Oryza sativa Japonica Group: one gene and its partners. The protein of the gene in region 2 binds, or shares a complex with, the protein of the main gene of each other region. Links are inferred from orthologs where the notes say so. Each region holds a gene or a part of one and is shown on either strand. Other genes may lie near its edges. The genes, in order: THO complex subunit 3, THO complex subunit 1 and THO complex subunit 6.

Region 1 (7,327 bases), on a different chromosome or scaffold from region 2:
CAAGTCTGAAACAAGTGTATCTGAAGAAAATGAATTCACTATCTTGTAGCAAGTCAAATGCCAAGCTAGACATTTCTTTCATTTGGCCGAACTAAAATGAGTGAGCAGCAGCAATTGTACCTTCATCAGCCTGGTACTTGTTCTTGTCGTCTCCTGCGTAAGCCAGGAGGTTGTACTTGGGGTTCCATTCAACACTATTCATAGCTGCCTTGCATGGAATCTGATGAATCGATCGTCCAGTTTGAACATTGGCCTGATCGAAGGATAGAAATGTAAAAGAATTATTATTTTTGGTAACAGCTAGCTTAGGATCATATTAGAATTACAGTATGTTGAACTACTCACAATGTCAATGAAGGGATCTTCGCTAGCATATGCAAGAAACTCTCCAGTATGATTGAAGCTAACTGTTCTTACAGGCCACCTGGAAAAAGAACAAAAAGAAAAGATGAAGAAAGTACATGTTTCTAAGCATCTTGCAACTGAAGGTATACTCTAATTAATCTTTGTTTCTTTGAATGACTATTTCCAATATGAGGTGTGGAGAAAATAGCAAAATTAGCTAAACATAACTTTTTGTCCAAATATTCATGGCAATATTTTAGATACATTGGAGAGAAAAAAAAAGGTATGGTTTAAAAGCAGCGAAACATACTCGAGTTTGGTAAAGGTTTTAATGCAAAGGAGCTCTTTGACATCCCAAAGACTGACAAGTGAATCTGCACTTCCAACAGCAAAATACCTGGCATCAACACATTCTGTAAGTATCCTTGTCAAAATCATTTTAAGCTCCATTTAGGGCTCAAAGAAACAAAATATTCACCAGATAATTGAGAACAAATGTACAATACTTTGGCATAGCTACACTAATGCATGAAACATGTTTGTATACCACTATATCCATGCGAACAAGAACATGATACTTTTCCACAATAAATTTTGTTGAGGTTCATGTAGCAGCTCAAATCTCCAAACATTAACATGAAGACTTGCAATGGTGTATAGCAAATAATCCATTCTTTTACATGGAGTAGAAGGCAACAAGTGGCAAACTATTTTGCACCCTTTCTTTTACATGCTAGTAAAGGTGCCTGTTAGTTGCAACGGGAGATGGGGGAAGGACGTGCTATTCAGTTTTTCTATCCCAGTTTTTTACCAGTGGGGCGTTTTTATATGTGGGTCCACTTCTTTTGGAGGGCTGTTTTTTTTTTTCTGCGGGTAAACAAAACTTCACTCCTGATAGGAAGCATGCACAGACGAACGAAACTTGCCTTTCAGAGTAGTAGAGAAACACTGAATTCAGTGTCCCATTTATATTTAGGCATGGGTCATCATAGAATCACTTATGGCTAGGTGCTATCACAGGTGAGATTCACTTAAAGGTAGCTTGGACAGAAAGTTCTTTTTTTTACATATACCAGTATCACTATCAACTGTCAAAAGACCGAGATAGAATACAACATTAGTAATACCCAAAATATAGTATGTCAAATAACTTCACTCATGCCTATGCTTTATATTACCTTGAAATAAAAAAAATCGTTAACTACATAAAACAACTAGCATCAGTATAAGGCATTAAGAGAATTAGAGTTCAAAGCGAAGTCAAACAGCATATAGAGAACCTAATGATTATAGCATAAAGTTCAAAAGATAATGTAGTTACAATGAAATGTCATTGGCTGAGATGTGAGTTGATGTTGAACAAATGAGCGAAGACAGAAAAAATCATCACCTATCAAGGGGATCCATTCCAATGCAATAACAACCCGCTGTATGAGCATTCAATTTGCCAACCACATGAAGGGTGTCATCAAGGGAAGGATCACCAAATACCTCAACATTTCCTACATAAACAGCAAACAATGTAATTACACTGATACCAACTGGTGTGATATTGAAACTTAAAACAACATATGGGTTTTGTATCTTACCAAGTCCAGTAGTGATGAAGAATAAATCTCCAGTTTTGTTCCATGCAATCTCATTTATCTGAGGAACAACAAATCAATAATTTACTTCAGAAAAGTTAACTGATCTGAGGAGCTATATGATTCATTTTTATCAGTAGCAGGTGTACGGGCATTTAGCTAGTTGAAATAGAAAATTTACAAAACTGCAACATAAGTAATGCAGCAAATGAAATTAAAGTACATCGAATAGTTAGGTAATTCACACTCAGTAGTCAGTACTAATTCAAATACCAGCAGGCAATTTTCCTGTTCCAGACAAAGATGCACATGCTGCCGACTTATGCCCACTCTACTTTTTCTCAAAAGGTATATGACTATATGTGCATGTTCATTCAGAGCAGCGAAAGATTCCAAAAGGAAGAAGAAAATTGCTAGAAGAATGTTTCAACAATTCAAACCTTCAAGTGGAAAGTACCTCATAATTAAACTTAAATTTGTGAAGGGCTTTTAGCTTCCGAACATCCACTATTGTCAACTCATCCTCCTGCAAATCATAGTGACAGCTGTTACTACACTTGTACAATTTTATAAAACTAGAACTCACAAAGTAAACACATTGGTGTACGCGGGACCTTGCGAACTAACTTGTAAACTTTATAAAAATAGGTTTACTACAATTATTATAAAATTTACACACCACTCCCCAGTCCCCATGCTCAATAACACTTTACTAACTTTGCATAGCAAAAAAAGTAAATAATTCCATCTAATTTAGGATCAATATGTATATATTCAAGTGTGTCCATACTGAGCTATGTTGTATTGATACTTATACAGAGAGCATGTCAAACACAAGAATGAACATTGCAATTTAGATGCTAATTTGCCAAATAACTCATCACTCAATCTAATATAAATCAGATTATAGTTACACATTTCTCTTTGGAAAGAATTTTATAAATTCCTTTCAAAATATTGTAACCCTCTTCTGGCATGATATATGCAAATCAAAACCAGTTCCTTAGTCATAAATGACTACCGTTCTTGAAGTTAACAGGGATAACAGCCTAGGCAATACATACCTTGTTTCCAACAGCTATTTGAGTACCACCATGTTTATAAGTGATATTGATGTTTTCTCCACTAAGTTCGACGACTTGACATTTTCCACCTGGAAAAGAACACGTCAAACAGTTTGAGAAATAGCGGGTCAAATAAATAATATAATTTTAAAAGGCAAACTGCAGGCCCAAATCTTGTAGAGTTATAAATAGAGAATCAAAAGTATGATGTACAATCCTATGAAAAAAATCGAAGTACAACTAAAAAAATTCTGAAACTAACTTTCAGGTAGAGTCACTACACAAAAGAATAAGACATCTTGTCTGGTAACAACAAGTTCATTGTAAATGGAACATAGGGATTGAACAAAGTGACAAAAAGGGATTCATCAATTTCAGAGAGAAGCTGAGAATGCTGAACACAACTGTGGATATCTTAGTTCTTTAACCTTCAAAGATGAAGGGAACCACTTACTCCGTGCATCCCAGAGGCGAATTGACTTGTCAGCAGCTGCTGTAGCAACTGTATCAGGATGCTTCGGATCCCAGCAGAGCTGATCTACACAATCTGTGTGGCCTTTCAATTCAATGTCTTTAACCTTGGACTGTGCAATATAAAAACCCTAATCAGCACAGTACTGACTTGGTACTTCCAGGGAAATAGAAACCATCTGGGGTTTTTTCCCCTCCTACGTTCCAACCAAAAATGTCTTAGTGTTCTCAAAACAATATAATTTAGCTTAGAATTTATTTTCCTCAAAACCGCAGGAGGGCTGCGCTTCCTTTCATTAAGAAGAAGAAATAAGTACAACTGAGGGATCCAAAAGAACCCCTAGCTAAGAAATCATTCACAATTTCACATTAAATAGCTCAAACATATGTCTCAGAGACACAGGCTATGGTATGCTTAAGTGTGATTACTGTCTGAGTTTCTATAATTTTAAATTATACAGCGGGAGATATTTCCAATTAATCATCATGCTTATCTTTCAAATTTATAGAAATGTTCATAAAAAAAGGGTGACAGTTATTCATAGTGAATGACAATAAATGCGTTTATCTAATAATTCCATAATAACAATGAAGGTTATTTTGTTTGCAATCAGGAAAGGAGAGAATGTTTACATGGCCATGGGGATCGATACTCCATACACGTGCAGTATGATCAATAGAGCCTGAAGCAAGCTTCATGCCTAGGCAGTTCCATGCTACAGAGTGCACCTAACAGTAAAACAAAAGATCAGAATTATACAAAATTTAAGGCTGATTATGTATGTAAGATAGATAAAAAAGAAGGCAAAAAGCGACAGAACCAGTTAAATGCTGCACCTCCATGTGTGGAAGGATTATTTAGAAAAACAAGAAACAGAATTCAAGAAAGAAACAGAGAAATATCGTTGTACTATGATTCTTTCTGCAAGTAAGATTTTTTTTTCCCTTTGAATTCTTCCCCTCAGAGGAGTAGCAACTTTACAAAGTCAGACAAGAAGTCCCTTTTCGTGAAACCAAATTCCTTCAAAAATTAGGAGTAATTATGACCAGGAATCATATTTGACAATGCGCTCATTCACCAGCTCCCAGAAGGAAAGCAACCAACCAAAGCTTCATTCAATCTCAACATGGCTTAGCCCTAGAGCAAAAGAATCAGCATATATACGGCATGAACGCGAGGAATCAATCACTATATCCTGCTCTAGAATTAGAAACAAAACCGTACGTGTGAACCAAAGATGGATGCATTTTCGTCCTAATTTTTGCTTGTAACATCCGGATTTTAGGGCTTCCCCCTCGCAGGACTTTTGAGGGTTTAGGACCTCATGAGAAAAAAACTTATCCCCGCGTAGGATTGGTGAGGGGGGAATCGAAAAGGTTACCTTCTTCTTGTGGCCGAAATACTCCCTCGACACCAGGTTCTTCAGGTTCATCCCCGGCGTCGAGCTTCCGCCACCGCCGCCCCGCCGTCTGTCGTCTTCTTTCCCCTCCATTGTCCCCGCGGACTGGGGCACGGGTCTGGTTTTGCTATTCCCCACTCACCGCGTCACGAGGCGCAAGGCGGCGGCGGCGGTGGCGGTGGCGGCGGCGGCGGGCGCGAGACGGAGGAGGGAGAGCCGGGGACGGCGTCGGCGGGGAAGAGGAGAGGGTTTTCGCAGAAACGTCCTTCTACTTTTTTGTTTATTCATGCCACAAGTTCATGCGTTATCCTTACCATGGAGCCATGGACACATCCTTTGGTTTTTGTTTAATTGAATCCATGCCATTGTAAATATACCGATAAATGTTATTACAATTCGTCTTTTTTAATTGTGACATTGAAATTTTATAAAATTAGAACCATGCCACTATAGTAATATTTTCCATCCATCTTCGTCTTCTTAGATTCATCTTTCCCCTCTTTTTTTTTCTCATCTCTCTCCACCACCTCTTTGGAGGGGACAGCCGCTGCGGCTGTTGGCAACTTTTTGTGACAAGTCGACAATTACGATCGCAGCACCTAAACGCCTTGCGGTGATATGGAGTCGCCAACCACCTCGATCTAGCCAAACGGCCAAATCAAGATGGGTTTTGTAGAAAAACAGCTAAACCGGCTAGCGGAGCCGATTTAGAGATCAAAAATCAGCCTCTAAGCCGATTTAGATCGATATGAGGATAACTAACCTGTCTCATAGGCAATACGGAAGGTTTTCAGGACAAATCTACAAAGAGGTGTCGCACTCTCGCAGCGGCGGCGGACGGTTTACGGCGCAAACCGACAAAGATGGATTAAAACTAGGGTAAAATAGAAAACATGGTAAAAGAACGATTCAAGTAAATTGTATTCGGGGGTTTTACAATGAACCGGCCTTGTCCCTTAAATAGGGGTTGGTCTTACCCTCTACAGGCCCTTCTCCATATCCAACTCGGGATAGAAACCAAAGGAAACACGAAACCTACCTTCCCAGGCAAGGAAACCCGAGACCCGACGAAAACAAACTCGGACTCGGACCCTGACGGTTTGACCGCCCACATACCTGCGGTCAGACCGGCCCTACTAGACGGTCAGACCGCCCACACACCTGTGGTCTAACCGGCCCTGTGAAGGAAACCCGTCACTTTCCAAACTTTGGCAATTTTCCTCTATTTCGTCCATAGGTGCCAAATTTGGGTGTAAACACATGCCCCCCTGCCTTTTTTGTAAACATACGTGAACCTAAAAGCATAGAACATGTTATGTCAGGGTGATAATCCAATTACCGCCCATAGGACTTCCTAAGCATCTTGCCAAATGCTCGGGAAATATTTCTTCAAGTATTTCCCATTAATTGCTCTCTGAAAACACCGTCTTGAAGTGTCTTCATCTCCTTCAAAGTCTTTAAACGCTTGTCGATGACGTCTTTAAAATTGTTTCCCATCAAGGTCTTGTAATCTTCAACCGACAAGTCGTCTTGCTTGAAATACCGAAGAGAGCCAAGATTTACCCCAACTGGCAAAACGACAATTTCAACAATGTTTTATTACTCAACTCGGCTTATCCATTAGCCTGAGCGTAGTAAAGAGAAGAACTCATCAACTTAATAGCATAAGATTCGGCAAAACTTCTCACTCCGTACAAGTAATATTCTCGAGCGGCACGGCTTCGGCCCACTTAGTGAAGTAATCCATTGCAACTAGCACGAACCAACGCCCTTTTGATGACGAAGGATAAATTTGACCAATGAAATCCAAAGCTCAACCTCAGAACGGCCATACTTTAATGATAGGATTCAACACAGCGGTAGGCGCTAATTGAACATTGCCGATCCGTTAACAAGCTTCACTCCCTCTATAACATTTGAAACAATCATCAATTATTTTCGGCCAATGAAACCACACTCTCCTAAGCAACCAATTTATCTTACGGGCCGATTGATGAATTTCACAAATCCCTTCATGTACTACTCTCCTAGCAACTTTAAACTGATCATTATCTAAGTAATACTCCATCTATTTTTCGGCGATATAATATTTGAGCGCTTGCCGCCGAATCTTCTGATCAACCTTAAGTGTAGGATCTTCAAATATCTAATCGAAGGAATTCTCCAAGCTATTTCTAACTCATGGGCACAAATGTCCGAATTCACAATTAATTCGGCCTTTTAATCAATTGTAACGTGCCCCCCAGCTCTCGGCCCGCTATCGGTCAGACCGGCCACGCAATGCCGGTCAGACCACCCTGTCTGTCCGGTCAGACCGGCCATGTAGAGCCGGTCAGACCGGCCGTGCAATGCCGGTTAGACCATCCTAGGTCTATGACTTTGCCAATTTCGTCCAAACTTTTGAAATCAAGCATCGGCCTTTAGTATATAATTTTTCTTCACATAATAGCCAAATGCTTGG
Region 2 (7,476 bases):
AAAGGCACAGATAGGGAACTCAACGGATGGAACCCTTTTAAACTGGATTATGCAAATCTATTAGTAACAAGTCAAACATAATAGTAATGGGATGCTTGGTAGAACATACAGGGTTTTGTTCAGCCCATTTCCACAGTTGGGCAAGTTCTTTGTTTCCCAATCTCCACCTTGGCTTACTACAAGGAAGGAAAGCAAAATATCAAAGAATTAGATTGCATTTGGACATGGACTTTCTTGTGTGAATTCATATTACAAATCGACATGAGGATGTGAAGTAGAATACTGGCTTGTTAACTCCAAGAATCTATGCTATATTTCCTACTAATTTGTTTTTTTACCTTTTCTCTAAATAAACCTATGCCACAAACAACTACTCAACGAGGCAATCGATATCAAAGACCATTCTTACACTCTTCACTCATGAAAAATATGAAACTAGTTGCATTAGCACAAATGAATACAAATTGTGAACTTCATACATATAACAACACATCTAAATCCATAACATTGTAAGTTGACACTATATAAGAATGTTGATGTGAAACAGGTGAAATTCATGATTCTTGCTTCTGGCGAACATTAAAAAAACTGGCAGCACAAAATTATAAAATAACTAATTTGTCTGCTCCATGGTAATTCAGATAAAGTGTATTTGAAGTTAATGCTCCCAGTGACACAATGTTTAGGATATGGTGCTCCCAGTACCATCAAAATTATAAACAGTATGCTTTGCGGGATGTATTTAATAAGACAATATCACAGTTGATAGCTGCTGTTCTTTTAGTTAGCACTAAAATCATTTCAAATCTATTGTAACTGTTACACATTATGATAGGCTAGCACATCAACAGCAGAACCAATAATAGACTAATGGCAAATTCAGTGCCAGAAGAAAGGAAGTAGCATACCGTTTTCTGACTCCAGCTTGGCCTGGTTTCTTTTCAAAAGGTTGTTTTTCAAACGCTAGACACCCATCTCGTTTCCACCATACCTTCAAGTTGAGCCAGCAGGAACAGAATCATTGGTTGTGAGAATTACTATGTTAAGATAAAATATTGCTTACATGCAGCTAAGAGGATACCCAATTTTTCTCCCGCTCAAGAATATGCTCGATGCTTTGTAGGAAGTCCTTCCCTTTTGGTGGAATTATCTCCAGAAGTTTCTTAACACGCTCTTCACAAGAATCGATTTCCTCTTTCTGATTGTAGAGAGCATAAAGTTAATACAGAGTACAGAGTGGCATTTCCTTAATCCTGATTCATTGTCTGTACTAGCCACTATAACCCAGTTGTATCAGGCAGGCAGTTGGTATTAGTTGGCACTGTTATACTAAAAACTAGCACTGCCAAGCAACTTCATACGGTTTGGACAATTTGTGCAATCAGTGTTTGTTAATACTTACATGCCCAGTAGCACACGCTGTGAGAAGTATGCTAATAAGTGATAATAATCGGTTCAACTAAAATGGGAATAGCTATCACAGACTACTTACGATCTCACATAGCATGCACAGAAAAAGGAGCTGATGGTTTCATGAGAACTAATGCTAGCTTTGCCACATTTGCTGTTGTGACTATCACAAACTCAAGAGCAATCATGTAGTAATAGGTGAATACTAAAAATTTGGTAACAGCACAATTTCAGATGCTCAAGTCTAAGTTCAACTGTCCATGGAAAACAATCAGAGAAGTCATTTAGTGGACTAACCATGCTCCCAGTTGGACCTTCTTTGTCAGTCTTTCCAGGTGCCTTGAGAAAGTCGAAGAATATGAGGCACTGGACAAGGATGTGGCGTCGAAAACTTGGGTCCTTCAACTGCAAAGAAGCAATTGCCATATGAGTCTATGAACAGTGAACAATAATAAAAAGTTAGTATCAGCTGATCAAAAAGTTCTTACCTCCAAACCCATCAATTTACTACTTGTCAGGTACTTAATATTGAAAGCAGCATCTTCCTCTTGGTCAAGATTGTTAAGTTTTCCATCATCGTCACTGAGAGGCTGAGCTTCAAATGTGCTTAGCACAACCTGCACTTTCATTAACAGTAAACATCAACGAGAAGTTCAGAATTAACATTTTGCATTGGGAAAGAAAAAGGTTCATGTAATTGTAAAAATGCGCAAAAGGATGTACCGTTAAATTGGACACAAACTTTTGCCATCTTGTCAGATTTGCAGCAGTTAAAGCAGGGTTACTAAAATGCTCCTGGAACATAAATAAAAAGACAAATGAGCATGAGAAACAATATAATGTTTAAAAGTTAAGAAGCGTGTCAGGAATCAATTATGATTTTTGAATCCCACAGAATGACAGGGTACAAAGCAGCCACCTGCAGACTCCATAGGGTATTGTAGAAGTTGAAATCAACAGAAATTCCTGAGAAAAAAAAAGGCTTACATTAGGGAGTTCTATCCTTTTACGAGAACAGTTGACTGAAGAAATAAAAAATTGAATAAAGTCACACGAAAAACACACAACAAAAAAATAATAAATATTTTTTTTATCAGGATAGTCATACTCACCATCTGTAGCGTCTTTCTCGTACTTTGTTTCATTTGATGTGTTAAAAACCCCCTTGATATTGAGAGCTGATAAAATAGAAAAACAAGGAAAATGTAGTTATGCACTCCTTGCCAATAAGGGGCTGTCTAGGAGGGGACAGAGAGATGCAAAATATGCAAACCTGAACGTTCCGATAATGGGAAGAAATGTGCTAGAAACATGATAATACGTCCGCAGAATACCACATCATTTGCCTGTGGTATTTCAGAACAAAGGGTATCAATGCTAGTACAGAACACAACCTTATAGGCTGTCAAAACTCCGAGAAATGTAAAGAATATATTTGTTCAATACTCACTAAAGCAAAAGGACCACAACATCGCAATGTACAATACGATTTTTATGATATGTCCAATAGCTTGGTATTTTTACAGTAAATTTGTCATTACCAAAGATCTTACTGAACAGTGAGCACAGCAGTCAGCTTAGTACTTGATAAAACTGCTCAGCACAGAAAATAAGGAAAGCACAGAATGATTTCAATCTACAGACATTCGGACTACGACAAAGTAGATAGCAGAGTATGCATAAGAAAACAGATGAATCTAACCTTTGATAATCTTCGAAGTAGTTGGTTGCAAGTCCTTAGCATAACAAGCTTGCCACGCCCGAAAAGCTCTTGCTACAAACAACTCAATGAGGTAATCCCCATTAGCAAAGCAACTGCATACATCATATGTGCCTTACAAGCACCAATTTAACAAAATGTAGTACAAAAGACAAATTCTCAATTACCTTCCCCAAGACATCTTGTTTGCTCTCAATATATCCAAATACATCTTTGCAGTCTTTGATAGTTGACATTTCTGTCAGATCTTCTAACAGCTGGAATACCATACCTCCCTCAACATGCCCTCTTTCACAAAGGTAAAGCACGATATCTAACATGAAAAAAAAGAAGATCTCTCAAGAGAAAACAGATAAATCTCTAAATAGTGCTCAGGAACCAATGTGAGAAAGGAGCAGTAAAAAGGTTCCAACTAACCAAGAAGACGTGTTATCGGGCAATTATTTTCTTCATTATCCCCATATTGCATTATTCTTTTACCAGATTGAACTGCAGATGACTACAAATATAGATATGAAACGAAATCAGCAACAAGCATTAATCTATAGGGCTGCATGACAGGCAAGTAAGGATTGCACAATTTGAACAATAGAACTACCTATCGTTCAGGTACATGGTAAATACTTGCAGACGGTTATTAAACAGAAGATAGAAACTTAATGAAATGTATGGAGAAAGGAGAAGTTGCATTACGCTAACTTGTAAATGTGAGACAGTGACCCCAAAAAAAAAATCATCTACTACCACATTACTTTGTAATAGTGTTGTTACAGAGAACAAAGACTAGTGCAGGCACATGCGTGGTAAGGAAGCTTACTGCAAGTTCCTGCAGCAATTTGCGTAGAGCATTTTCTAAGGATTGGTTCTCCTCCAGAACCAACACTGTTTGCTTCTGCAAAAAATCAGATGAGCAACTAACTTAAAAACGTGTGTATGCACAAGACAACGCAAGGAACATCAAGTACAGTAATCCATCATCTATGAGAAAGCTACAAGCCTACAAGCATGGCTGACTGTGGTGCATTGTGTACCTGAGGTTTAATCGCATCCTGAACGGCCTGAAGGGCAAAAGCTTCAGGGGATTCAGTCCTAGACAGCGCATCCCGGAACACTCCCTGTGAACAAACGAGATTTCTCAAATCTACTGCACAACACAGAAATAATTCCGCGCAAATTGACAGAAAACCCTCGGTTCATGACATCCTCCCACACTGGCACCCCCGGGGGCATACTAGATAGGAGAGTGGACAACTCACGATGATGCGGTCGCGGTCGGTGTGGCTGGAGACGGCGGCGGAGGTGGCGGCGGCGAGCGCGGAGGAAGAGGAGGCCGGTGGCCGGTCCTTGCTGAGGAGGATGCGGAGCCCGGCGTTCGACGGCAGCGGCGGCGTGGGCTCCGCCATGGCGTGGTGGGTCAGAATGGAAGGGTAGGTTTCGGCACACTGGCTGGAGCCTCTCCCTCCCCGCTTCCAAGCTGGACTAGTATCCCACGGCGGCGGGCTCCGGCCTCCGGCGGCGCGCAGGCGACGGCGGATGCGGGGTTGAAGCCTCCTAGGGGATCGGGGAAGAAGGTGGGGTAGGGGATGCTGTCTTGTGGGCCGCGTTTAGGAATTACTGGGATTTTGGGTTGTTATTGGGCCGATCTATATCAGACGGGAATAAGTTCGCATTAGATCCCGTAATTTGCCACGAGGATAACACTTTGGTTGGGGTTGGAGAAGCTAGCCGGTGATAATCTAGATAAGCTTCTTCTATCTTCTAGTTCATTTTTAGATTTTACAACTATATCTTCTTAAAATCTGAGTGAAAATTTAGACTGTTTGTGAGAGCTTTTAAAAAAATCTCCAGTTGCCATAAACTTCCCCAAACATGCCTTGAATTCGTCCCGAACCGAAATACCAACGCTACAGCTCATCCTTCAACTCACAATACCGTATCAACTTTGGTCCCACGATAGTATGGTGGCTAATTTTAAGTTTTAACTGATGTGGGAAGTAGGACTCACGTGGACCTCACACAATAGCGACAACTCTTTGTCTCTCTTCCCTGTTCTCCAGGAGTACCGAGATCCAATCCTCATCGCCGCACCGCTCGTGCTGTCGGTGCTCTTGTTCGTCTCCATCCCGGTCCTCGCAGAATGCTTGAGCGCCTCCTCCCGCCCAAGAAGCTCCCCGGCCATCCCGGACAGCGACGAGTTTTAGCCTTTTAGGGGCTATTCAGATTGTAGCCGAAATAAACCTTACTAATTTTTGGCAATTTGGTAATATTGTCAAAATTTTGGCAGGATTTCTTATGCATTTACTAAAGTTTGGCAAGAATCTAAATGGATGCACATATTTAACAACTCTACCAAAAAAAAAAGTATAGTTTGAAAAGACATCAATCTGAACGAGCCCTTAAACTCGACGACAAATTAAGGACCTTAAATGAACTTATTTCTATCAGACGTCAACGATGTAGCCCAGCACATCCACACCATGCGTGTTCTTGCTGTCACCGCGGCCACATCCTCCTCCTCTAGAAGAGGGGATAAAGAACTTGATGATGGAGGAGAGATTCGCGGAGAAATCTACGTCTTGACCGGACTTCTCCCGTGGAAGTTTCTTTGCAATCAGTATACTAATGCAAGCGACGACGAGATCAACAATTTTCTTTTTTCGCCATGACATTATTATTCATACTCTCATCCAATAATGTCCAAGTCTGAAGCCTCGAGTAGCTAGTTCATGTGTCGTGATTATGGATTCAAGAACTAGCAGTGCAGACAAAATGGTCAGGTCAGTCTCACAGAAGACCAAAGATGTGCAATACTAACATTGTTTCAAACTACTACGTATTTCGTCACAAAATCTGCAGATACAATTTTTTGCAACAGCGGCACAATCTGGTTTGTGCGCTAAACATCATAGTACAAGTGTACAACCAAAGGGCATGTATCAATAACATGGATTGATTAAACTTATGCTCCGTTCATACTCAAACCAGCGACTTCATATGCCGACAGAGAGAATTGGGAACAGCATAAGCCAACAAATACTACAACAACTGGGAAACCATCTGATCATTATACAACCAAACCACAAAAGGTTTACCTAAAGTGTTTACAAAATGCAAGGTACACTGCGCTAAAGCTCCTAAATCATTGGAACAAACATAAAGTAGGGTAAATGCAGGACATGCAATTAATTTAGATCTCTGAGGGAGGTTTGACAGTATGAAAACCAAACCATCAACCACATGGCATACTGATGCAATGCAGTAAAGCCAATGAACTGGAATTGAGTTATTAGGAGTAAACCAAAATTATTAGAGCAGTTCAAGAGTACACACACTACAATCTCCAACATTCTGAGCAAAAGCATCCATGATAGGTAGAGGTGTAAGGGGAAAAAACAAAACCAAGAACAAGTGACAGAAGTCAGTTTCCAAACTAGTGTTTGGCACATTGGCTGTTGGTTACACATGTACAAAGCCATGGAGAAGTGTAGAGATTTAAAGCCTTCATCATAGGAGAAAAGGCCGATGGCATTCTGGATTAAGTAGCTTTTTGGTTGTTTTGATTCCTGTCTCGGTCCCCTGCTGCGTTTGGGTTTTGTAAATAACTCTTTATTTCTCTTAATACAAAAATGCACTCCTTGCGTATTCCCAAAAATACATCCGCCATGATATGCTAGTATCTGAATGGCCACTGAAGGATAAATAGTTCAGAAGTATCCTACACCATGTTAGCTTCAAATTTATCTTAAGATAACAAGCATTTAGGTGCCGCATATGCTGTCATAAGGTTTATTTTAAGCCATGAAACTACTGGCCAGCAAACATCATTCCAGTAACTTCCTACCAAAAATACTACTGGTACGTTAAACTCTACACAAATGGTAACCAAATGAATGAAGAAAACAACTCAATTTAGTGCCATATCGAATCTCTGAACCCAAAGAAACTGCGCCTAGCATCCTTTAGATAAAGACATCAAGACAAGTCTATTGTAAAATATGTTGGACAGTCACAGTCAAGGGTATGGCCGGATGAACAAGTTCTAAGAAGAAATGGAACAAACATCAGCTGTCACCATACAATATATGGAAAATAATAATCAGTTTGCTCCAGAATGGCCTATATCGTGATCCTCCATCCAAAATGGATGGCCTACCAAAATATATTAGCCCTTTCATGGTAGAAAATTCTGCACATTCACTGACCACAACTGCACAAAACATGAGTAGAAAAACTAGCTAGTACTCCATAATTTACCAGAAGTTGTACACAACATATTGCAATTTTGCTGAGCAGAAGAACCAAATATGTTCCATGTTTCATGATCAATAAATAAGGACACTTCAGTT
Region 3 (7,515 bases), on a different chromosome or scaffold from region 2:
TTTCAATCGGCAATTACATTGATTACTTCTGAATGAAATATTTATTCCATTTTTGGATGAAATATAATTTTTAAGTGATTATAATTTACTCCCTCCGTCTCCTAATATAAGGGATTTAGACATTTTGCTTGCATTGTTTGACCATTCGTTTTATTAAAAAAAAAATTGGAATTATTATTTATTTTATTTGACTTACATTATTATCCAAAGTACTTTAAGCACAACTTTTCGTTTTTTATATTTGCACAAATTTTTTGAATAAGACGAGTGGTCAAACGTTAAAAAAAAAATAGTGAATATCCCTTATATTAGGGGACGGAGGTAGTAACATATAAATTTTAAATCTAGATATGGAGCTGTGATAAATATTGCCTAATAAAGAGAAACAAGTGCCACGTGATGCCAAAGGAAAGCTGATGTACTCCTTTTGTCCCATAAAAAGACAAACCTGAGTTTGGATAGGCTATCTAAGAATAATCTGAAGAATATTAAAATGTGTCACATCTCATCTTAAAATCCTATCCTGAGTTTGTATTTTATGGGATGGAGGGAGAAAGTCAGCAAAGAGAGCAGTGTTGCAGCAACCAGCAGGTAATCCGTACAAGGGAATTCATTAGGGAAATTGTAACAGCAATAAACTTAAGGGATCTAGAGTCATCTCTATCGGAGCAGCAACGGCACAACTGTGAATTACATAAGTTAGCACAGAGATGAACTAGTGTTACAGCTGAACAGCTCCCAAGTGTATGATTACTAGTAGTAGTACTTAATTAGATCTTGGCAGTGTTTTTCCAGTTCTTTACACTATTAAGAGTGCTTAGCTAATTGTTCCAATAGATCTTACTTATCCAGGCTCCGGCAGCCAAAAGTGCACAAATGACTCCCAAATTGTGATATTACATCCACAAGGCCTCCATATCCAGCAACAGCTGCCATCTGCACAACAAAGGTAGTAAACTCAGGACAAATCGGCCAGACTCCAGAAGTAGGGTGAAACAGATACCCAAGTCATTTCAAAATGAGAATCAAGAGACAGACAGACATACCCCTGAAGAATGTATGGAGACAGAAAATGCTGAGTGAGGAGCACACTTGATTTGTGAAAGAAGAGTCCCATTGATAGAGAAACGAGAGAGCAGAGGTTCAGCACCGACTGCTAAGATCTGAATGGTGAAAATGGAGTATAAGAAAACAAACAGTTGATAATTCCTAAACCACAAGAGTTGGGAAACAATGCATCCTTCGTGCTGCTCTATTGTCTATCGCCAGACTCAACATTGCTTTGGTAAATCTCTAATAGATGTGAGCAGACAATAATAAAAAGCTTTCCTTGCAGGAATAATAACTAGTTGGCTGAAGAGTCACTCTTATATTTGTTTGGAAGCAAAAGCTTTTGATTTTATTCTGTTTCTCTCCAACAATAACATCACAAAGCTTCAAATTTTGGCAACCATGTCATAAATCATCAGGAAATAATTTATTGCATTTTCTGTGCATATCTGAGAGATTATCTGATAATAATTTCATATCCACACAATTATGCAAACTTTCATTTGGCAAACAATTATGCATAAAAAAATTTAGAAAGGGCATTGGTTAAATAGATAAATCATGCACTTGTGGAACTATCATATGACTTGTTAATGGAAATAATTGACTAGGGGAACACTAATTTACTACAGGTATAGCATTTGTTAAACTCACAAAGACTAAAGAATGGAATGATCCGTCCTAAATTTTTTGCCAGCCCATCTTTGAAATACAAGATGAGCCATTTCTAACCATGGGCAATTTTACTGGTTTGCTAAACTCTAGCTTGAACATGACGAATAGATAGACTTACTTGGTTTCTGTCAAACAGCAAATCTTGAACAGGAGCATGGCAATCCACATTAAAGATGCACTCATTTGAAAGAAGGCTCCAAACTGATATACCACTAGAAGTACCACAAGCCTGGGAAAAATAGGACCAAGATAATAATAACTGTAAAATACATGATGCATAACACATTGTTATATCAGCTTGAAGTGCATCCTACCAGCCAGCTTTCACTTGCATCAATGGCAACACAACTGACCCATGACCCCTCAAAAATCTTGTTTTTCACCGGACGTATAACCTGAGTGCACTTTCCACTTCTGCAATCTGCAGTGCACAAAGAGCAGAAATAAGAGAATGCCTTTTTATGGATTTCCATGTAGTGCCAAATCTTTCTAAACCTGTCTGAAGGTAAACTCATAAGAGAGAGGATAAATTTTGTGAATATGATGTGACCTGTGACCAGATCACCAGATGTGAATTAAAGAGTACAAAAAGACAAATAGCTAGTTGGTGCTTTTTCTTTGCTTGAATCAACGAGCAGATATACAAAATGACCAGTTAGAACAGGATGAACATGAGAAGGCACACTTCAAGTACAAGACAAAATTATCCTATCAAAAGCACTGCTCACCCCAGATACGGGCTGTGCCATCCTCTGATCCTGTAACTACCTGAAAAAGGAAAGGCTCTATTAACTAAAAGTTACTACAAAATGAAGGCAAGACATCTATGGGAAAATGGTATTGGACTACATCAGTACAATAATAACAAACCAACCTGGCGGTTCGCTTCGCGGACTGCAATGCTGTGCAAATAGTCAGTATGTCCCTTGAAGGTCATTTTACATTTACCACTCTCCTGAAAGAACAAGACATTGTAAAACCTACTATCAGATATTTTCTCAAGCAGGCACACAGAAAATAGAAAATTATGGAAGCCTGTGCCACATGAATCATAAGAAATCTGTAGTTCCTTCCATGTAGCTCAGGACTTCTATATATTGCATTTACCTCAAGAAAATACATACCACATCCCAGCAATAAGCACATGCATCCCCGGCCGCTGCATAAACAGATCCTTCCTGTTGCGAAGAAGAATGATGAGAAAGAATAACTGAATAAGATATCTTTTTTTAAGCAAGTAACAATATGCATCATTTCTATATAATATACACGATGAACAAAAATGCACACAAGAGATTATTTTGCTTCTTTGGATGAAGTGAAAATGCAGACTTTCTGGTGTTGACCTGTTTGTTAATCGCAATGGCGTTGTTTTCAGGTATTGGAGAGCGAGCACCCCAAGGACCCCTACAAAATCGAAAACAAAAGCTCTGAAAAGATGGAGGATGAGAGTGCAAGTGCATATTTCTCTAGAATAAACGATATGTCAAATGATTATCAGATGTATGTCCTTTTTCACAGAATACTTACTCATGCTGAGGGTTCACCAAATCAAGTACTGGCTCCAAATGATCCCCTGGAAAGAAAAGCAATGACAAAGTAACCTATTAAACAACATGCATTAGCCCCACAAAAAAAACATGCACTAGAGCACTAGAAAAGGAAATGGGACTTGCAAAATGTTTTACATCTTTGTTAAAAATTTAGCCTTTTCTTTGTGGGGTGTGCGCAAGCAAGTACAGGTAGAACTTCTAGGTAAAGCACACACCAAACTAATTAACCAAGTCAATCCTAGTAAGAAGTGAGGGTTCTTTTGCAGCACCTTGCAGAGATAGCGGCACAAGGCAGCTCTGCATCTCGTGCCATCTCCATCCCCGAAGGCGCCCGTCATCCCCGCCGCTGCCACAACCAACGGATCACGTCGCCAAATGTCATGCCATGTCACCTGAACAAAAACGGCCACCGAGAAGACGAGCAGCAGCACAGCAATTCACCTGAAGAGCAGCGGCTGCTGCGAATCCGGGTAGAACCTGACGTCGTAGGCCGGGCCACTGTGCGCTTGGACGATGCAGACGGGATCAACCAGAGAGACCGCGGCATCCGGGTGGGTCTGAATCCAATCAAATCAAAACAAAAGATCGAACACCTTAGCTGCGCACGAGGACGCGGCACATGGAGCGGGTGTGGGGAACGAACGAACCTGTGGGGTGGGATGGGAGGAGGAGGAGGAGATGCAGGAGGAGAGGGAGAAGGAGGCGAGGGAGCCGTCGCTGGAGGCGGCGGCGAGGAGGACGTCGGGGTCGTCGTCGTGGTGGTCGAAGAAGACGGCGCGGAAGAGGGTGCGGCAGGAGAGGTCCCGCTCCCGCAGGATGCCCCGCCTGTACGCCGCCTCGTCCCACCCCCGCGCGTCCATCCCCGCCAACGCCGCCGCCGCCATCTCGCCTCGCCGCCGCCGCCGCCGCTGCTTCGGAAGCGAGAGCGAGTCGAGGAGTGGGGGGAAGAGACAGCGGCTGGTTGGGCTGGGCCTTTAGATCAGAAACCAACGGCCAGATCTATTCATTATTAAAAAATATAATATGAAATCCCTATTTGATTTGTTTTTGTACAGTATTGTAATAATTATTTGAGGGTACAGACAAATAAAATAACTGTTATAAAGTTTTAAAAAATAGGTTAAAACAATATTCTAATAAATTTATATTTATTTTTTTTGTGATGAGAAGCCAACGACGAGATCTTATTCATTGATAAAATAATATGAAATATCTATTTGAGTTGTTGCTTCGCGTAATGTTGCGATAATTATTCGAGGGAACAAACAAATTAAATAAATGTTACTCCCTCCGTATTTTAATGTATGACGCCGTTGACTTTTTAACCAACGTTTGACCATTCATCTTATTCAAATTTTTTATACGAATATAAAAATACTTATATCATGCTTAAAGAACATTTGATGATAAATCAAGTCACAATAAAATAAATGATAATTACATAAATTTTTTGAATAAGACGATAGGTCAAACGTTTGTCAAAAATTCAACGGCGTCATACATTAAAATACGGATGGAGTATAAAGTTAAAAAAAAATATTAGAACAGTATTCTAAGAAATTTATACAAAAAGTTTTAAGAAAATCACACCGTTTAGAGTCTTGAGAAAGGATCCTTCGAAATAGTTCCCTCAAATCTTATGGATAGGAAAATAACAGGAATGATCAATTAGATGAAGCGTTTGAAACCACACAAATCAAAAGAGAGGAATTTTTTTCAAGACTCTATACTACTAGGTGTAGCAACACCAACATTTAACTCAAAATTTTATTTTTCAAAGAACATGGGGTTTGAGGTATCATATCGTTCATATCTCGCGTTTCTGTCTTGTTTCACTAAGGAAATGCTGTTATTTTGTGAAGCATGTTGAACCCAAACCACAGGCTTAGCATAAGGTTATAAAATTGTACAGCAATTGACTCTCTCTTTATTTATGCACCTCAAAAGATTTTTGCATGTATGGTAGCAAGTAAAATACCATATCATGCAAAGGACTAAGTTCAACATACACTAAAATCAAACACTGAAGAACAGTAATACTTTCATGTCACACATGATACACACTCTGCTCATATATATATCAGTGGTACAATGAACCATTCAACAGTTACAACTCCATAGTTTGGCAATAATAAGACCAGCCGATGGATATCTCACAACTCATCCATGGATCTATTAATAACTCATGTCAATGTTTTCACATCAAGTGCAGACAGAGGCAACAGAACATCTCAATCTTCACTTGTCAGATCCCTTCTTTGGGTGGAAGGCTTCAACAATAGCTTCAATCTCTTCCTTGGCACGCTCAAACACATTTGGACCTTTAACTCTCTCAACTGGTGTATTCTCATTTATATCATCGCTTGTACCATGAGTTTCATTCTTGTGGGTCTCTATTTTGTTCATTGACACCTTGCTTTCATCCTTTGAGTCCTTATGCAGGTCTACACAATTTTGTAATGGTGTGTATCATAATCATTAGACAGGAAGATAAGGTTAATCAATGCATAAAAGAATCTGACCATCATGCATGAATATCACACACAAAGAGCTGACAAGTCATTGTTGATTTTTTTTTGTGTGCTGCAAATTCTTCGAAGGAATTCAAGCAAAGTATTTGTATTCAAACTATTTTTAGGGCATACATATCTAAACTTTTATGCCTGAAAGGATTTCCAGAAAGTTTCATGATTTAGCTGCATCATGTTTTAAAGTCGGTTGGTGGCATCAAATTTGACAAACAATTACTGAAAAGGATGTTTTTGCAATAAAAGGGAGAAAAATGAAGATGCTAATATTCTTGAACTTGTGTTTGTGTTATCTCAGAAAAATCTTGTTACAGAAAACCAGACTTTTTCAACAAAGAGAAATAAATTCTGATATATGCCCAATGCATGATTAATGACCCATCATATTATACAAGGAACTCAATACACAAGGTAAAAAACATCAAGCTAAAATTTAGCAATTGTCAATTGAGTATGCTGTAGCGCATAATTGCTAGATCAGATTTTGTACTCCCTCCGTTTCACAATGTAAGTCATTCTAGCATTTCCCACATTCATATTGATATTAATGAATCTAGACATATATATCTATCCAGATTCATTAACATCAACATGAATATAGAAAATGCTAGAATGACTTACATTGTAAAACGAAGGAAGTAGGACATAATTACTGAAGAACTACGTGTCGGCCTATTAGGCATTGAAGAGCTTAAGCTTGTGCGTTTATCTTATATGAGCTTTGTGTTTTTTGGTCCTGTTGTTAAGCAGCTAAGGTCGTGACTTAGGTGATGAGGCAAAGGATCGTGCGATACTGTGATGGACTGATGGTAACATTAAGCTTAGATGTGAATTGTCTCTCTGGGTGCTTTGGGCCTAGCCGATGCTCCTCTATCCTATCCTTTTTTCCATCTTTTCTGCCAGATAGTTTAAAATCCTACTCTTCTTTCTGGGGATAATAAAAGGTGCTCAGCATCTTCACAGAAATTAAATTACGGAAAACACCGTTGGTTCAAACAAATTACCAGCATTATTTCCATGGGGACTGGAATTGTGCTCCATCTTATCATGAACAGCTCCAACGAGAGCCTCAACCTCTTCCTTGGCTCGTTCAAACAGATTGGGGGCCTTAACCTTGTCCACAGATGTTTTATGACTTATATCGTTGCTCGTTCTGTGAGTCTCCTTGTCATGAACTTTATCTTTGTTCATCACGCTTTTGATTCACAGTAGAAAGCTGCCTATTCCAAGCTCCACTCTGCACAAAATTCCAACAAGAGCATTCAGGATTTCAGCCCGTGATAAACAACACAAAACCTGATACTTGCCATTCATCCCTACGCAGGATCCGTGCCCGAAAAAAAAAAAGGTAAATAGCAGACCATTTGCCTTAATCCAATCGAGCGAAAATGGTAAATACACCGTTTGACATCATGCCCAAATAAAAAGACTTTAATCATCTTTCCTCACCGTTCTGCTTGCTAAATGTTGCAGCATCCAGCCAAATAATACACTGGGAACGTTGCACAGGGCAACTGTTTTTCGGCTGTCAGTGCTGAACCATCAAATCGGCAATGGCAAGCAAAAGAAAACATAATGTACACTCAATATAATCAGATCACCACAGTATTACTCTTTTTTTTTGTTTTTTTTTTCGGGAGACTGCAGTCTGCAGGTAGTACTCTTGATCGAGAGCTCACTGATCCGGAATCAACAGCTTCCCAAATCGA

What was found.
Region 1: THO complex subunit 1 (region 2) and THO complex subunit 3 share a complex: the UniProt entries of both Arabidopsis thaliana proteins name them as parts of the THO complex. The link is inferred for Oryza sativa Japonica Group from reciprocal best matches to the Arabidopsis thaliana genes THO1 and TEX1.
Region 3: THO complex subunit 1 (region 2) and THO complex subunit 6 share a complex: the UniProt entries of both Arabidopsis thaliana proteins name them as parts of the THO complex. The link is inferred for Oryza sativa Japonica Group from reciprocal best matches to the Arabidopsis thaliana genes THO1 and DWA1.

The regions. Positions count from the first base shown.
Region 1 is NC_089043.1:11,600,223-11,607,549, reverse strand, and holds the start of THO complex subunit 3, read right to left. Parts: upstream 5,137-7,327; 5' UTR 4,960-5,136; coding exon 4,849-4,959; intron 4,196-4,848; coding exon 4,100-4,195; intron 3,580-4,099; coding exon 3,450-3,579; intron 3,085-3,449; coding exon 2,996-3,084; intron 2,458-2,995; coding exon 2,389-2,457; intron 1,993-2,388; coding exon 1,935-1,992; intron 1,848-1,934; coding exon 1,736-1,847; intron 743-1,735; coding exon 656-742; intron 425-655; coding exon 346-424; intron 254-345; coding exon 121-253; intron 1-120. UniProt on the Arabidopsis thaliana protein: Acts as a component of the THO subcomplex of the TREX complex which is thought to couple mRNA transcription, processing and nuclear export. Contributes to the integrity of the endogenous trans-acting small interfering RNA (ta-siRNA) pathway.
Region 2 is NC_089037.1:607,236-614,711, reverse strand, and holds the start of THO complex subunit 1, read right to left. Parts: upstream 4,709-7,476; 5' UTR 4,534-4,708; coding exon 4,387-4,533; intron 4,246-4,386; coding exon 4,162-4,245; intron 4,023-4,161; coding exon 3,948-4,022; intron 3,630-3,947; coding exon 3,548-3,629; intron 3,444-3,547; coding exon 3,298-3,443; intron 3,185-3,297; coding exon 3,113-3,184; intron 2,757-3,112; coding exon 2,684-2,756; intron 2,589-2,683; coding exon 2,523-2,588; intron 2,377-2,522; coding exon 2,330-2,376; intron 2,206-2,329; coding exon 2,134-2,205; intron 2,028-2,133; coding exon 1,899-2,027; intron 1,816-1,898; coding exon 1,708-1,815; intron 1,199-1,707; coding exon 1,082-1,198; intron 992-1,081; coding exon 909-991; intron 177-908; coding exon 110-176; intron 1-109. UniProt on the Arabidopsis thaliana protein: Acts as a component of the THO subcomplex of the TREX complex which is thought to couple mRNA transcription, processing and nuclear export. Contributes to the integrity of the endogenous trans-acting small interfering RNA (ta-siRNA) pathway.
Region 3 is NC_089043.1:16,265,210-16,272,724, forward strand, and holds THO complex subunit 6, read right to left. Parts: upstream 4,218-7,515; 5' UTR 4,163-4,217; coding exon 3,926-4,162; intron 3,836-3,925; coding exon 3,720-3,835; intron 3,625-3,719; coding exon 3,548-3,624; intron 3,302-3,547; coding exon 3,256-3,301; intron 3,133-3,255; coding exon 3,072-3,132; intron 2,904-3,071; coding exon 2,850-2,903; intron 2,681-2,849; coding exon 2,596-2,680; intron 2,494-2,595; coding exon of another isoform or gene 2,490-2,493; coding exon 2,454-2,489; intron 2,147-2,453; coding exon 2,040-2,146; intron 1,955-2,039; coding exon 1,844-1,954; intron 1,164-1,843; coding exon 1,047-1,163; intron 937-1,046; coding exon 841-936; 3' UTR 593-840; downstream 1-592. Other genes in the region: uncharacterized protein, read right to left, coding at 5,517-5,722, 6,811-6,997. UniProt on the Arabidopsis thaliana protein: Acts as a component of the THO subcomplex of the TREX complex which is thought to couple mRNA transcription, processing and nuclear export.